4 linked regions of the Canis lupus familiaris genome follow. The protein of the gene in region 4 purifies or fractionates together with the protein of the main gene of each other region. This does not show direct contact. Links are inferred from orthologs where the notes say so. Each region holds a gene or a part of one and is shown on either strand. Other genes may lie near its edges.

What was found.
Region 1: the proteins of ARID1B (region 4) and DPF2 purify together in Homo sapiens (affinity purification with mass spectrometry; 7 studies listed by BioGRID and IntAct, counting the BioPlex papers as one, with this or other methods). This does not show direct contact. The link is inferred for Canis lupus familiaris from reciprocal best matches to the Homo sapiens genes ARID1B and DPF2.
Region 2: the proteins of ARID1B (region 4) and SMARCD2 purify together in Homo sapiens (affinity purification with mass spectrometry; 5 studies listed by BioGRID and IntAct, with this or other methods). This does not show direct contact. The link is inferred for Canis lupus familiaris from reciprocal best matches to the Homo sapiens genes ARID1B and SMARCD2.
Region 3: the proteins of ARID1B (region 4) and BCL7C purify together in Homo sapiens (affinity purification with mass spectrometry; 4 studies listed by BioGRID and IntAct, counting the BioPlex papers as one, with this or other methods). This does not show direct contact. The link is inferred for Canis lupus familiaris from reciprocal best matches to the Homo sapiens genes ARID1B and BCL7C.

Annotation. Positions count from the first base shown.
Region 1 is NC_049239.1:52,339,180-52,342,446, forward strand, and holds part of DPF2 (zinc finger protein ubi-d4), read right to left. Parts: coding exon 3,196-3,267; intron 3,083-3,195; coding exon 2,954-3,082; intron 2,864-2,953; coding exon 2,751-2,863; intron 1,533-2,750; coding exon 1,451-1,532; intron 1-1,450. UniProt on the Homo sapiens protein: Plays an active role in transcriptional regulation by binding modified histones H3 and H4. Is a negative regulator of myeloid differentiation of hematopoietic progenitor cells. Might also have a role in the development and maturation of lymphoid cells.
Region 2 is NC_049230.1:15,127,605-15,132,570, forward strand, and holds the start of SMARCD2 (SWI/SNF-related matrix-associated actin-dependent regulator of chromatin subfamily D member 2), read left to right. Parts: upstream 1-1,605; coding exon 1,606-1,821; intron 1,822-4,278; exon of another isoform or gene 4,279-4,494; intron 4,495-4,966. UniProt on the Homo sapiens protein: Involved in transcriptional activation and repression of select genes by chromatin remodeling (alteration of DNA-nucleosome topology).
Region 3 is NC_049227.1:17,466,274-17,471,010, forward strand, and holds the start of BCL7C (B-cell CLL/lymphoma 7 protein family member C), read left to right. Parts: upstream 1-1,793; 5' UTR 1,794-1,890; coding exon 1,891-1,982; intron 1,983-2,489; coding exon 2,490-2,568; intron 2,569-2,869; coding exon 2,870-2,978; intron 2,979-3,080; coding exon 3,081-3,242; intron 3,243-4,539; exon of another isoform or gene 4,540-4,685; coding exon 4,686-4,737. UniProt on the Homo sapiens protein: May play an anti-apoptotic role.
Region 4 is NC_049222.1:47,282,065-47,285,549, reverse strand, and holds part of ARID1B (AT-rich interactive domain-containing protein 1B), read right to left. Parts: intron 3,259-3,485; coding exon 3,128-3,258; intron 1,001-3,127; coding exon 1-1,000. UniProt on the Homo sapiens protein: Involved in transcriptional activation and repression of select genes by chromatin remodeling (alteration of DNA-nucleosome topology).

The sequences.
Region 1 (3,267 bases), on a different chromosome or scaffold from region 4:
CAGTGACAGGAAAAGGGGACGGATGAACTCTGACGACCCAGTGTGTTACGGTCTGCCCCTCAGGAAAACTGGGAAAAATGTCCCTGGCCAGAAAAATAAGCATTTCATAATTTGCTTATGGGTGCATTCTCCCGTGTTTTTTATAGAAACAAAGCTAGCTCTTAATGCCTCAAAATTGTAAGTGCAACTGTACGTATGTTTATGTGGATGCATATGGGGGCAAGAATCCACACTTTTATAAGCTCTTCAGAGATACAGGGCTCTCAAAATGTAAGGAGGTCCTTTCTAACCCAAAGGTCAATACCACAGGGACTGGCAGGCTTCTCTGTAAACAGCCAGCCAGAGTGTTAAATATTTTAGGCTTTGTGAGCCACATATAGTCTTGCTTCAATGTTCTTTTTTTAAATCTCCTTTAAAAATGTAAAAACCATTCTTAGCTTATGAGCTATACACACTAGCTGCAGGCTATAGTTTGCTGACGCCCTGACTTAAGAATCTCGTGGCTTCTAGAGGGCTCTCCCTCAGCTGCCTGCAGCTCTTCACTGGCCTCTGACAGTACTTCAATAGGAAAGCCCTTCTACAGTTCATGGAGAATTTTGTCTGTAAATTGATATTTTATGGTTTAAAAAAAAAAATAAAAGAACACACTACTTCTCCCCAAAGTAGATTTATAAACTGGGCATGACAGATGACAATAGCTGTGTGCTCCCCTGCAGCTGCCAAAGGACTCTCAGACTTTGTTCATGCCTCCTTCCCTAGGGGGTTGACAGCAGTTTGACCTATATTACAAGTCAGCTTAACCACACAGTGAGCCACTTTCTCTGGTCTGTAATGCTGGCCCACATCCTTTGTGCACAGTAAAAGCCACTGGGCATTCACATCCTCCTGAGTAAGCTCCTGAATTTCTATAAAGGAGGGGTTGGGGCACAGAGATCTGGCTGGAGGGGGACCTGCAGAGAGACCACCACTTTCTGGTGCCACCACTGGTGTGGCTAAAGAGCTTCCACAAACTTGGAGCATTATTAAGCAAATTGCTGGAAGGGCAGAGTGATCCATTCAGGCTCTAGGTTCAACACCTTTCCAGAGTGGGCAAGGGAAATAGGAAGAAATGGGACACTCAAACCTGTCATGTTCAAAGAGCTGCTACCAAAGCCTCATGTAACTACAAACTGAGTTTCCTGGACTGGTTGAAGGAAGTTAAACCGCTCCTTCTGGTAACTGTTTTCCACTCAACACCAGTCGTCTCAAGGGCTGTTGATTTTCTGCATTTCTAAATGCATCTGGTGATAATGTGCAAACGTTAGACCCTGGAAGTCAAAATACTAGGAAAGCATTCTGAGTGAAGGCAAAGCATCTATTCCCAATTTTGAAAGAACAGATTACTAGTAAGAGAACTCCTTTCCTGTTACTGATAAGATACTTGTTCTGATAAGAGATTAGGGCAACCTACCTTCAGGAGGCTCAGACATGGACGGGGTGAGACAGTACATATGGTAGCCACGGTCACAGTCATCACAGAAAAGCAGCTGGTCCTAGAAAAGGCCAGATGGAAGAGGAAGAGGCAGGTGAGTGACTGGTGGGCTTCAGGTGGCCCACCAGGGGTGGGCAGAGATGGGGGCTTCTGCAGACACTGCTGCTTTCAGGAGGGGTGGGGCAGATGGCAGGGAAGAGCAGATTCAGGAATTTCTGGATAGGAAATTCAGGCTGCCGTCCTTCTCCATCCAGACTGAGTCGCTGTCATTCCACCTGAACTGTACCAGCATCCGAACTCAGCTCATGGCCTCCACTCATCCTTTACATTCTATTTTTCAGAGAGTGAAGTTATCTTTTAAAAATGTTACGACATGGGCAGCCCTGGTGGCTTGGCGGTTTAGCATCGCCTTCAGCCTAGGGCATGACCCTGGAGACCTGGGATCGAGTCCCACCATCAGGCTCCCTGACTGGAGCCTGCTTCTCTCTCTACCTATGTCTCTGCCTCTAATAAATAAATAAAGTCTTAAAAAAAAATAATGTTAAGACAGGGCAGCCCGGGTGGCTCAGTGGTTTAGTGCCGCCTTTGGCCCAGGTGGCTAAGTGATCCTGGAGTCCTAGAATTGAGCCCCACATCAGGCTCCCTGCACGGAGCCTGCTTCTCCCTCTGCCTGTGTCTCTGCCTCTCTCTGTCTCTCTCATGAATAAAATCTTAAAAAAAAAAAAGTTAAGATAGCACATCACTCTCGATGAAACCCTCAGACCTGGTGATGGCCACCTTCCAATCCCTTCTCCTAGTGTGCTCCCGCTTCAAGGAAGCCCCAGCCAGCCAAACAGCCTTGGTAAACTTGGCCCGTCTGCCTTGAGGCCCCATCCTGGTTGCTTGTCTCCTGGGCATGCTGGGCATGCTGTGGCCGCAAATCTCCTTGGACTGGCTCCTCTGTTTCATCCAAATCTCAACACCAAGACCACCTCCTTGGAAAAGCCAGTCCTGACTATCTACATCAGGTACCAGATGACTGCCCCACTGCTGCTGTCCTTCTCTTCACAGCATGCCACAAAACCGTCGCTCCTTTCCTTGCCCACTGCTTGTTCCCCACAAGGAGGTAAATTCCGTGAAGGCAGGGACCTTGTTGGTCTTGTTTAGCACGATGAGCACCTGGAACGGTATCTGACGCCAAGATGGCACACAAGAGGCACTGGCCAAGCAAGTCCTCCCTGGGGTGTGGGGGACAGCACAGAGGGGAGAGAGGGGAGGGGGATGGCAAGGGGACACGCACATCGTTCTCGGAGGTGCCACAGATGTTGCAGCACTTGCACTCGATGCACTGCCAGCGGTAGGTCTTCACGGCCGCCATCATCACTGGGGTGAACTGCAAGCAAGAAGGGTGCCCTAGGGGCGGGAGGGAGAGGGGGTGTCACACAGGCAGCTGGGGCACGCAGAGGGCTCCCGGGCAGGCCCTGGGCCCCAGACTGGAGGTACCTGAGCGGCCGCAGTCGGAGCAGGACACCAGCTCCTCAGGCTGCCCCGTCTTCTTATTGATCTTGGAGTCCCCAAGGCAGAAGTCACAGTAGTTGTTGGGCAGGGCCAGTCCATCAGGACCCTTCTTGGCTACAGAGAGGAAGAAAGTTCTGACGAGGCTCACGGGGGCCTCTAGGCACCCAGTGGCCCTACAGGAAAGGCTTTTCAGGAGCAGATGATTCCTGCTTGACTTGTCAGCTTACATTTCTGCTCCTCTGACCTCTGGGAAACTGGGGTGGGTGGCTGCGAGTCTTCCTTGTCCTCACCCTCCTCCT
Region 2 (4,966 bases), on a different chromosome or scaffold from region 4:
AGAGAACAGAGTTGCTGGAGGGGAGGTGCTTGGACGGGGTGACTGGGTGATGGGCATTAAGGAGGGCACTTGATGTAATGAGCACTGGATGTTATGTGCAATTGATGAATCACTAAACTCTACCTTGAACCTAATAATACACTATATGTTAACTAACTTTAATTTAAATAAATAAATAAAAGAAATGCAGAAGCTTGAGCCTTACCCCAAACCCCAGGCATACTGAATCATAATCTGCATTTTAAACCAAAGCCCCAGATGTTTCTTTCTTTTTTTTTTTTTTTTTTTTAAGATTTTATTTATTCATGAGAGAGAGAAAGAGACAGAGACACAGGCAGAGGGAGAAGCAGGCTCCATGCAGGGAGCCCGAATGGGACTCGATCCCAGAACTCCAGGATCATGCCCTGGGCTGAAGGCAGCGCTAAACCACTGAGCCACCCGGGCTGCCCAAAAGCCCCAGATGTTTCTTGTGCTTATTAAAGTTTAAGAAGCACTGGCCTGTATCAGGGGGAGGAAACCCCAGATGACCAGCATGTAGGCTAACACAGCTGAAGGGCTTTATTTTGAATACCTTATGACACAGGATAGTGGTTTCTGAAAAGGTATTGAATTTTTTTTCCAATTAAGTACTATAAATCCTGGAGAAAGACCTTATTTAACTGCAGGGAGTTTTCTCACAAGGCAAAATTCCTCCCCCTAGAAACATTTCCTGTGGAGTAAAGTACTAGGCTTCCTTAAAGTGAGGCAGAGCCACGTTAAAAATATGCGATAAGAGCTCGGCGCAGGGCCAAGTCAGCCCGTCACACAGCTGGACTGGGTCTGGGGCAGCTGACGTCCCTTGGCAGCTCTGAGCCAGCAGGATGGGCTATTAAACAAAGTGAAGCTGGTGGCTCTTCTGCCTCAGGAAACAGCTCTAAGCTGAATTTTTACTGCCTAAAACATAGAAAAGCGACTTAAGTCAACTATTTTCAGGGAGTGTAACTGGGAACCTCGGGGGGCGGGCTCCACGGGGCAGAGATCAGCAACTCCCCACGCATTCTCTGTTGAAGCCCTTAGGTGACCTTCAACCTCTGACCCCGCGCCTTGCACAGCGCTTCCTGCGCAGCTTTCCGCCTCCGCCCCTCCGGTCAAGGGCGGGCCTGAGGCGTGGGGGCGTGGCTGGGGGGGGCGGCTGGCGGTTAGGGGCGGTGCTTGCTGGGGGCGGGTCTCGCGAGGGGCGGGATTTGAGCGGCACCGTGGCATTGGACTGCAGGTTCTAGGCGGGGCCTAGCGCCGGGCTTGTTTGGGCGGGGCTGGGAGTTAGTTGCCGCCTCCGGGTAACTGGACTCCGGCGGCCAAACCTCCGGAGGCCGCGAGCGTCAGGCGGGCGTGCAGCAGATCCCGGATCCGGAATTGCCCGGGCAGGACCGGAATCAGGATCGGCCCTGCCCCAAACCGGGTCTGCGAGGAGGAACTTGAGAACTTGGATTGGGAAATCCCGGAACCCGGATCAACAAGCCCCAGAACCCGGAATTTAGATCGGGAAGTCCCGGAGCACGGATCGCGGAGCGGACTCGACACGGAGCCCGGAGCCCGGATCGCGACACCGCCGGACGGGACGGAGCGATGTCGGGCCGTGGCGCGGGCGGGTTCCCGCTGCCTCCGCTGAGTCCTGGTGGCGGCGCCGTTGCCGCGGCCCTGGGAGCGCCGCCTCCGCCCGCGGGACCCGGCATGCTGCCGGGACCGGCGCTCAGGGGGCCAGGGCCGGCTGGCGGCGTGGGGGGCCCCGGGGCCGCCGCCTTCCGCCCCATGGGCCCCGCGGGCCCCGCGGCGCAGTACCAGGTGAGCAGCGCGGCCGGGCGGGCGGGTGGCGCCGCGAGGTCGCCCGGGGCGATGGGGCGATGGGGGCTGGAGTCGGGGCCGCGGGGCAGCCCCCGGGCGGGGCACGGGGGCCCGGCGTGCGGAGTGCGCGGGACGGGGTGCAGGGCAAGGCCGGGCGGCGGGGCAGCTCGGGGAGAGGGTCAGAGCGAGCCTGGGCTGGAGGGTTGGGGGCGGTTGGGAGGGTCTGGAGGTTTTCTTGGAACGGGGATTCTGAGTGAGAGGTGGAGGAACCGGAGCCCGGGAGCTGTGGGCGAGCGGACCGAGAAGTCTAGTGTAGGTCCTAGGGAAGGGGGCTCGGGGAAGTGCTGGGAAAGTTTTGCAAAAGGGCCCTCACGGAGAAACCAGGGTTACCCTGCCTTGGCCTTGGTCCCACTCCAAGTCTGCGCTGGGCTTTTTTTTTTTTTTTTTTTTCTTCTAGTTGGGAACTGGCAGAGTTCTAGCGTGTCTGAGATGGCTCCCAGCTGCTGATGGGGAGGAAGAAGGGCCTGGCTCCCCGCGGCCCGGGAGGTGGAGAACGGAGCAAGGGGACCCCAGCCTGTGCCGGGCAGGGTCTGCTCCAGGTCAGGCCCAGGAGCCCTCCCGTGGGGTGGCTCCGGGTTCGACCAGAGCTGGTGGTGGCCAGGCCTGAGGCAGGCGGAAAGCCCAGCCCGTTCTGGGCCGACTCTCCTTTTGGCTTTCTGCCTGGTGTCCTAGTGTCCAGGAGTTGGTTAGTGTGCAGGAGCAGAGAGGCTCCACTGAGCCCTGCTGGTCTGGGGCTGGAGGAGCCTGTCTGTGAGAGTTGCTTCAAAGAGTTCTGTCCTGACCCCTTTGGAGTTTGGCTTCCAAGAGAGCGCGTCTCAGGTTGCAGCTTCAAAGGCCGAGGAGAGGTAGAGACTCCATCCTTAGGGCCTGACCCTGCTGGTGGGGCTCATCAGTACCCCCCTCTCCAGTCCATTGTTTCTGGTTGCCCCAGAATGCTTGGGAATTGTGCCCATCCTTTTTTGCACTCTCTCTGCACTCTTATTTAGCCTTTAGGTTCTAGCAATGTCATATCCCAACCAACCCGTGTGCCCCAGCGTTTGGCACTGGCTTCTTTGCTAATCTCCCAAGGAAGCTGGGGTTGACTCTCTGGTCTCCAGGTAGAGGCTCCACAAATGGATCCTCATAGGATAGGATATGCTTATCTCCCTCGCCGCCCCCCTCAGAGCCCTGGGCCCTTACTTTCTAAAGAGACGCCTAACTGGGGACCCTGATTTTTCCCACTTACTCTTCATCCCCCCTCCTCTCTGTAAAGAAAACAAAATATCTGGGTACTGACAGAGATAATGCCAGTGACTCCCATCTTTCCCATCTTGCTTTCCCACTTGGGGATTCATGGGTCCAAGCTGATGCTGAGGGGTCTCGACATGAGTCATTACAGCCCCTGGGCCGGCTAGCTGAGCACAGGCCTTGGAGTCTCTCTGGGCCTTTGGTCTAAGAAGAGATAGGAGCCTCTCCAGTTGCCTTTGTTCAAAAGCTGTGAGCAGTGTGGCCTGGGGAAAGCCCTTGGATAATGGGTTCCACAGCCCTATGTAGGGAGTGGCCTTGGGCCAGTGGCAAGGTCCAGCTGACTGGCTGGGGAGCCCCAGGCTGCTAGGGTTGGGGACCAAAGGGTAGGCACTGAGCTTCTGCTTCTGCAAGCTTCCTGTCCCACCAGCTTTTCATAACCTCTTCCTCCTCCTCCAGGAAGGGACAGTAGAGGATCCAAGGGGAGAGGGAAGACCCAGTTCACCCTGGCTAAGTTCGAGTAAGATTCTGCTTGGCCTCTTTCTAAGTCCAGTTGTGTGACTTCCAGGAGATGGGACTTCAGAGGAGCAAAGGGGGTCCTGTCTGTTAGGGTACATGAAGTGAGCTAGAAGAGCAAGGCTTTCCAGGCCAAGTGGGGTAAGTTAGGGAACCTATGGAAAGAGGGGAAGTGATGACCCACCTCCCTCCACACAGTGGATCTAGCTGTGGATCATACTCGACAGAAGAGCTTAAGGAAAACAAGAAATGGGGCAGTTTGGGTGGCTCAGTGGTTTAGTGCCGCCTTCAGCCCAGTGCCTGATCCTGGGGACCCAAGATCGAGTCCCATGTCGGGCTCCCGGCAAGGAGCCTGCTTCTCCCTCTGCCTGTGTCTCTGCCTCTCATGAATAAATAAATAAAATCTTAAAAAAAAAAAAAAAAAAAAAAAGAAAGACAAAACAAAACCCAAAGAAACCCAGATTGTTGGGTTCACTCCAGAGTTCAAAATATTTTCTGCTTATGGAGGGGTATGTTCCCTTCTCTTAGGCCTGGGCCACCAGGGGCGCCAGGGCCACAGGCTTTGAGGCAGGGTGCTGCGTGCTCTCTGGAGGTGCAGCATTAGGCCCAGCCACGTGCCCTGCTGTCCTGGGCAGTGGAGGTAGAGTCACACTTAGGACATGGGCTGCTGCCGGGCAAGGGAGAGGACATTGTCACACACTTCCTAGCTTGAGCTTTACTGCAGGCAGGGACTTACAGAGCCTTGAGTGGCCTGACTGGGATTTGTTTTGGGGTGTTTTGTTTTTTCCTTTTTTTAATCTTGAAGAGGAGTTAACTGGTGCTCCAAAGAGCAGGTGTGGAGCTTGGCAAGACCAAGCTACGACTTCATGAGCTGTAAGTACCCCCCCACCCCCGGGCCCCTTTTCTCTCTTGGGAGAAGCCTGGGGCCCTGGCAAGCCTAGGGGGGCTGTGTGCCTGGGAAGTCTAGAGCAGATGTCTGGGAGGAGCCTTTTCCACCCCCTGCCGCCTTGACTTGGGGCTTCCTGCTGCCGGAGCACCTGCCTGGGAGGGACGGGTAGTGCCGGGAGGTTTTGTGTACACCCCAGTGCATGGCTTCCCAGGGACCACAGGGCCCTGGCTTCCTCTCTGCAGACCCCACTGCTTCTGTTGCTCCTCCTCTGGCTTGGGGTGGGGAAAATGTGTCTAGGATGTCTGGAGCCTGGGCTTACAACTGTGGCCACACTAGAGGTTTTTTCTGTAATCTCTGGCCATGGCTCATTAAGGCTGAGAAACAGGCTTTCACCTTTGAACAGCTCAGATGAATCTTTTCGTGATGAGGAGAAGTTGTGGCAGGACTCCCGAGCCC
Region 3 (4,737 bases), on a different chromosome or scaffold from region 4:
CCTTAGGGGCCCACAGTCTTATGGAGGCAACCATAAACAACAGCAGGTAATGGGGTTTATGAGTGAAGGGACTGGGAAGGAGGCCTGTGACCATGAGCAGACAATTGCCAGAATAAAAGAAGATATTAACTAGAGGAAGTGGGTGCAACTGAAGCCAGACTGTTGGTAGAGGCCACAATCACACAGTCATTAACAGTGAATATTTATTGGGCATTTACTATGTGCGTGGCATGGCTCCAGGAATTGCATTAGATATTAACTTACTCTCATGTTACAGTTGAGGGAATAAAGATAAATGAGTTGTCCAAGGTCACTGGACATGAAGAGCTGGGATTTTCCCAGGAGCAGTTAGGCTCTAGAAATTTGGTCATAATCACCCTCCTATACCTTAATCCCTCTGGACATAATCACACCAAAACACACAGAGACAAGAGCCACACACCCTTGAAACACACACATAGAGCAACACACACTGGCAAACAGATTCAAATAAAATCAACCAAAACACACGCATTTTAAGTAAACTTTTAATTGAAGCATATAATATACATAGGGAAAAGTGTACAGTTCGGTGAATATTCAGAGTAAATGTACTGGTGGTGGTGGGGGGATCAGCACCAGATTCAGATTAAGAAACTGAATGTGACCAGTCCAAGAGCTCCCTTTTGGCCTCTCCCAAGAGTGACCACTATCCTGAGTTCTCACACCACAAATTAGTTTTGTTTTGAATTTCATATAAAAGGAATCATATAATGCGTACTGTTGTATCTGATTTCTTTCATGAGACTTGTCCCTGTTGTCTGTGTAGCAGGATATCACTCTCTGCTGTGTCCACTGTGTGAACAGGCTACAATTCATTTTCCACTCTACTCCTGATGGGCTGTTTCCAATTTGAGGCCGTGCTCTACGGTGCTATGAAGATTCCAGTACACATCACTTGGTGCTCACACCTACGCATTTCTCTCAGCTTCTCTAGAAAACTGCCAGTTTGGGTGGCCCCGGTGGTGCAGCTGTTTAGCGCCGCCTGCAGTCTAGGGCGTGATCCTGAAGACCCTAGATCGAGTCCCACGTCAGGCTCTCTGCATGGTGCCTGCTTGTCTCTCTGCCCCTCTCTCTTTCTCTCTGTGTCTCTGTGAATGAATAAATAAATAATTAAAAAAAAAAACCTGCCCGTTTTCCAAAGCATCTCTATCCATTTTCACTACCCCAGGAACATGAGAGGTCTGGTTGCTCTACTCCTTTGTCTACACTTGATATGGTCTGTCGTTCTCATTTTAGCCATTCTGGTGGGTGGAGACCTACTCATATTTGCAGCATCTGGCCAGAAATGGGCACTCTGAATAGACTGCTGAATGAATGGCTGAGGAAGAGCTGGACAGGGCGGGAGCGACAGCCAGGGGAGGCTGGACACACGCTCTGCACGCAGCACGAGGGCCACCCCCGCGCCACAGACGCTCGCCGTGAGAGTGACCCTCTCGCGCCCCCTCCTCCTCCCCGCGCCCACGTGGTCTGAACGCACCTCCCCGGCCCGGCGGCGCGCGCCCTGGCGCCAAGCTGTCCCCAACCCTCCCTCTTGGCGGCGGGTAGGGGGCGCTGCGCGTCGGGGCGCCCCGAGGGGGCGGGCCCGGTCGGGGCGGGGCCGGCCGGCTTCCAGGCCTGGGCTTTGGCCGCCCGCACCGCCGGGCCGCTCCGGGGACGGGCCGGGGCGGGGCGCGGCAGCAGGAAACGGGGCGGGGACTCGCGGAGGCGTTGGGGAGCGAGGGAGGGCGCGGCCAACTCCCGGAGGGACGGCAGGCCGAGAGAGCGGCGCCCGGGTCTGGCCCGAGCCTGAGCCCGCCGGACGGGAGGCGGCCCAGCCGCGGGCTCGGCCTCGGCCCCAGTCCCGCCAGCATGGCCGGCCGGACCGTGCGGGCCGAGACCCGGAGCCGGGCCAAAGATGACATCAAGAAGGTGATGGCGACCATCGAGAAGGTCCGGAGATGGTGAGCGCTGCCCGGGGGCCAGGGATGGGACCCGGCGGGACCACTCCTCCCCCAAATGCGTCTAACCTCCCCTTCGCCGGCCGTGGCCGCAGGGTGTTAGGTGTGCCCCCCGGAGCTACAGGGCTCTGTCCCCCTTCTGGCTACACCCTAGGGTCTACAAAGCGTGTTCCCAAGCCGTACCCTCATTTATGCCCCGCCCCCTTAAGCTTTGACACTCCTCCCTCAAGTATGTCCAGGATCTTCATTGCTATGGTCCCCAGCCAGGCCCTCAGCCTTGCTCCCTTGTATACCCCAGGGGTCTGCAGAGCCATGGCCCCAAACCGTGCTCTCTCCTTAGAGGCACCCCTGTTTATGGCCTGGGGTCTGCAGGACTCTCTTTCTCCTTCTAACCATATGCCCCATTAGCGAAACCGCAGCACCCCCAAGTCTACAGGTCTCCCCAGATGTGTTCAGCTCCTGGGGGGGGCTCTCTCCTCAGAATTCTGACCCAGTCCCCCCCTCCCACAGGGAGAAGCGCTGGGTGACTGTGGGCGACACTTCCCTTCGTATCTTCAAGTGGGTGCCAGTGGTGGACCCCCAGGAGGAGGTGAGCAAACTCCCCCACTGTGCACCCTCAGGCAAGCCCCTTCCAATCCCAGCCTCCACCTCCAGTCCTGCTCTGAGACCTCAAATGCAGCAGCCAAGACAGATGTTAACAATTATTAGCAACTCCACCCCCTTCTCCCTTTTTCCTGCTTCAGACCCCTGAGTTCAAGCCCTAATCCACTGTGCCAGCCTCCTGTAGGGCCTTTTGCTGCTCTGTGCCTCAGTCTCCTTATTTGGACAGTGGGGGCTTTGCAAGCACTAACTGGAAAGCCGGAGCTGACCCTTATCCCTCTAACCCCCAGGAACGACGGAGGGCAGGTGGCGGGACAGAGAGATCCCGAGGCCGGGAGCGGCGGGGCAGGGGCACCAGTCCCCGAGGGGGTGGTCCCCTCATCCTGCTGGATCTCAATGGTATGTAGGGATCCTGGGATTTGGGGGGGTGTTGTGGGATGGGGAATTGAGGGAGCAGATTGGGGCTCTCAGGCCCAATGCTCTCGGCTTTTGCTCCCACAGATGAAAACAGTAACCAGAGTTTCCATTCGGAAGGCTCCCTGCAAAAGGGCACCGAGCCCAGCCCTGGGGGTACCCCCCAGCCCAGCCGCCCTGTGTCACCTGCTGGACCACCAGAAGGGGTCCCAGAGGATGCTCAGCCCCCACGGCTGGGCCAAGAGAGAGGTAGGACCAGGTGCCTCCCTGCAGCCCTCTCTTCTGAGTTGGCTGGTGGCTGAGTTGGAGCCATCAGCTTACCCCTACCTACACCTGCTCCCCTCCTTGTTATCCCCTTCCAGAGGCCTTCCCTGACTCCTGCAGAAAGTCACCATCCTACCTCCAGTAGCTAACTGTCTCATTCATCCGGCTTCTTTGGGTCTTTTTTTTTTTTCCCTTTGGGTCTTTATGTAATTAATCACTGTCTGAGATTTTCATGTAAATTTTATTTTTTACTACTCAAATTTCTTCCCCCACTCCCACCTCATGTTGGCTTCCTGAACTTTGGGCCCATGTTGCTCCTGTCCATTACTAGATCCTCAGAACAATGTGGGACACATAGAATGTACTCAATAAATATTTGTTAAGGAATGAATAATAGTGATATTCCTGAGGGTGATTAATAAGTGATAATGATAGCTAAGACTTATTGAGCTCTGTGTGCCAGATACCATTCTAAGCACTGAACATGTTTGATTTCATTTAATCCTCACTATAACCCTATGAAAGTTATAATCCCCACATGTGGATGAGAAGCTGAAACCCAGAGAAGTCTCCTAAGCTCACATGGCCAATGAGCCAGCATCTTGGGCATAATTTTGCCTTAGCTCCTCTTTCTTCCATATAGTCAATCCCCTGTCTGGTCGGAACCACCTTGCAAATGTGTCTCCCTTCCTATAAGAGCCATCTCTTACCTGTGCCTGGCTCCAGCCTCCTTGTGGGTCTCCTCTTCCCTAGTCACCTCTACACAGCTGCCAGAGCAACTTTTTCTAAAGCATAGATATGGCAGGCTCATTTTCCTGCTTCAAAGCCTTCAATGGCTCCTATGGCCTTTGACTCCTCCACTTGGCACTCACGGCCCTTCGTGAACTATCCCTGTTGGTCTCATTGTTCCTTTCCAGGAATACCATGACTTGGGCCTATGGGCCTATGGGCTGTGTCTAGATTGTACCGTGCACTTGGGTACCTTTACTAATACAAAAACAACAGGCATTTATTGAGCGCTTTCTATGTGCTAGACACTGTACTGAGGGCTTTACCTGTATTATCTCATTGCATCCTCACAACAGTCTCATGTGGTAATTACTATCATTATCCCCACTTTGCAGGTGGGGAAACTAAGTCCAGAGGAATTAAGTCACTTGCCCAAGGTCAGGATTTGAACCGGAGGAATCCAACCTCAGAATCTGTCCTCACAAACATATAGTCTGTCTGCCTAAAATGTGCTCCATCTCCACATTTGTCTACCCGATCAGATCCTACTCACCCATCAAGATCCCACTTAAATGTCCTTGCTGTGTCTTCCTCTGGCCAATAGCAAGGTTCCCAGCTCACTCCTTGGTGTCCCCAACCAGGGTCTGTGTTGTGGCACGGAGGAGCCACTCAGGGAATTCTGTTAACTTGATGTTCCAGATCCTGGGGGCATCACTGCAGGCAGCACGGATGAACCCCCAATGCTGACCAA
Region 4 (3,485 bases):
TGCTGCAGGCCACCCCTTTGTCCTCGTCTTCCTCTTTCTCATAGGTCTGCGGCGCTCGCTTCCTCTCCGGATGCTCGTGGTGAAGAAGAATCAGCTTCCCCAGGATCAGCACCAAGCCTGGATGTTTGGACATCTCGGCGTCGTTGCCAGGCACAAAAGACAAGCTACGGACAATATTGGACACACAGATACAGCGCTTGGCCAGGGAATCCTGCCAGTGCGCGATGGTGCAGAGAGGAGTCTCGTCTCGGCTCCTTGGCTCGTCCTCCAGCAGCTTGATGTTCCGGTGACTTTTGGCTTGATGTATCCCAAAGGGGAACTTACCGCTCTCCGTCTGGGTGCCGGGGTTCGCGTCTTCAGGCAGCGCCCCCGGCCGAGCAGACAGGACATCGTCGATGGTTGCGATGATGCTTTTCTCTTGCTGCTCCTCAGCCTCCCCTCTTCCTTCTTGCTCTCTCTTCCTACCTGCGGAGCTTAGAGCAGGAGGCGGACGCCTACGAGGAGGGATTTCCATCTTGCTCTCAAAGTGAGTCTGGATGTGCTCGGTGGTGTCGCCGCCACCGAGCTGCCAGTGGAGAAGCCCACTGTTGAACTCCTGGACGCGACCCAGCTTGTCCGACCGGTCGACGACAAACAGGTTGTTCTTTTTGACTATCTTTATGGGCAGCTTGTCGAACTTACTGGCCTGCCGGGGCTTCTCCTTTGGATCTGCGGGGGCAGTGGGAGAGGCCAGAGTCACGCTGCTCCTCTCCGTCTCTGGCTTCCCGCTGTCCTCCTCGTCCTCGTCCTCATCCTCCTCGTCCTCTTCGTCCACGCACTCGGTGTCATCCTCCTCTTTCCCGGAATCGTCAGCCGACGACTGGCCATCGTCTCTCTTCACTGCATTGTGATCAAGTGCTTTCTGGCTGGGGTCTCCCACCTCGTATTCCATCAGAATTCCAAAGATGTCAATTAGGCATTTCCTAAAGTACTCTACTAAAAGTTCGAGAAATCCAGACAACTAGAAGGAAGGACAAGAACAAGAGCGGGTACAATGTCATCAGGTCAGGAAGGACTGAAAAGGGTCAATCCTGGTGGCTACCAACACATTTTTTTTAAGGGTAATTTTCACATGTTTTAATTCCTTGTTGGCTAGGCCAAAGAGAGACTACACACGAGTTAGAAAGGTCTCCCTGAATTTTATATTGTTAACGAAGCCAACGTTTACCATGCTTTCTATTTGCTGCTTACTTTCCCACTCCTTCAGTATGAAACCTTCACTGTTATTTTCTTATTTTTTAATATTGTCTTTTCTTCTCATTTAGGTACGAGGTGCTCTATACTAGAAGAGTGGGAACCTGGATTTTATAGACTCATTCACCCAAAGTGAGTCTGTTCTCTTCTGCTATTTTATCTGAGACTTGCTTGCCTGGATTTTTATGGTTATTATTGTTAGGATTTTACGGTTATTTTTGTCTCAGGTGCCATAGGTTACTCTAATTTACATCCTCCATATATCTTTGGGAGAAGATAATTTCAGCAATGTAGTAGCTCATAAACACAGAAAATTAAAAACAAATCAATTTAGTCCCTGATAAATGAATTAGAATGTCTCGTAGAATGCACTTTTACATTGCAGCTCTCACAACTGCAGCTGAAAGACAAAAGCAACTCTGAGAATCAGTTTTGTGTCCCGTAAGCAAATGTTTGGCTCGAGAAAACCGATAACCCTGTGATTAGCCACTGCCCAGCTCTCCTCCCTCAATGCCCACCCCACCACATCTGGGTGGGTAGAGGACAGGTAAGTACAGAAGGATTCTTCAATGATAGGTGTTTTGGAAATCACCCATACTGTCATATCCTGCTCTCAATTTCTTGAAAGCGGATTTAGAACTGTTATTAAGAAGTAAGGGGACACTTAAGTACTGCCCACAAAGTACTCTGTTTTTAGGGGATGAAGGCACATCCCACAGTTTTTCAAGTGAAGATCTGGGGGTTTGGACCCTCCCACCCCTTAAAGTTGACTTTTTCCCTGGGGGTAAGGGGTAAGTCACTAAAGCAATTCTGGTTATTAAAATGTGTGATCAATAGTAGTTCACTCTGCTAACCTAAGGATGAAAGGTCATTACTTGAGCAAAGGAAGTATATACAGTTTTTAGTATTTTCTGTTACAATAGACTTCATGAGATGTTTATAACCTTATTAATACACTTCTGATCCAGTGAAAAACTGCCTTTCAGGGCTACTATGAGGACTTAAATATGAGAAGGAACATAAGGTGGAAGATTCTGGTCCAATGTCAACAGAAGCAAGGTAATTAGATGTTTGGGCTTTTTTCACCCGCAGACAATTGTTCATCCACAGTAGGGAGAATTACCTTTCTTCATTTTTGTTTCTAAGTATTTCTTTAAAAGTTTGTAGCTAAAAAAATAAAGTTCGTAGCTCAGTTGGCTCTTGGGCATTTTGCCTAACCCTCTGCTCCCTTCTCTTTTCTAGCAGTTACACTGGAAGCTACATTAGGCCTACCACTGGACAAGGGCGCGCTTTAATCTTATTAAAAGTAGTAGGCTTTCACACGACTGCTTCAAAATAAGGTGGAGAGGCAGAAATGGAGGAAATGGACCAAGAAACGCTCCTGGCGCTGAGTTCACAACTATCTCAGCCAAATAATGGGGCTATGGGGGTTCATTAAACTGTTCTCTCTACCTCTCCCTATAACCTACATTTTCTATAATATAACATTTCTTTTTAATTAAAAGAAAGAGGCCTGGTCTCCCTAGAAAGCAGGGTATGTCCCAGAGAAAGCTCCTGCATACCCAATACTGACTCCAGTCCCAGCTTGATGATATATTTGGATTCTCTCCCGCCTGCCTGCTGACAGTCATTCTAAGGAACTCACCTTTACTACAGTCTATTCCACACGCACATGCACACGCACATATGTGCGTGCACACAAGGGGATAGTTTCTTTGTGATAAAAACAAGTATGTGTGTGCTAATACTAGAGCGTGAAGTGACTTATTCCCAACTCAATTCTCTGGGACCGCCACGTCCGCTGGGGGCGCCAATCACCTCTCACATTTGCTGACACTGTGCACTACAGCCCTTTCTTAAGCCACTTGGGCCCATGGATGGGTTACTGGCTTACCTGGGAGAGACTGAAGGTAGCGACGGTGCTGTCATCGTACAGGAGAATGTTAATAGTGTCCAGAGCCCAAGTACTTTCAGCTAGAAGACCTGACTTAAGGGACATCATCACACGCCAAGCCTCAGGAGTAACTAAAACCAGGGGAAAGATCAGGGCATAATTAATATTAACTCTATGCATGAAAGGACAGAAGAAAATAACAGAAGAATAAGGAAAGAGAAGCTGAGTGTAGGGGTGCCTGGGTGGCTCAGTTGGTGAAGTGTCTGCCTTCGGCTCAGGTATTGGTCCCAGGGTCCTGGGATCGAGTTCCACATTGGGCTCCCTGCTCAGCAGGGAGTTGGTTTCTCCCTCTACCCCT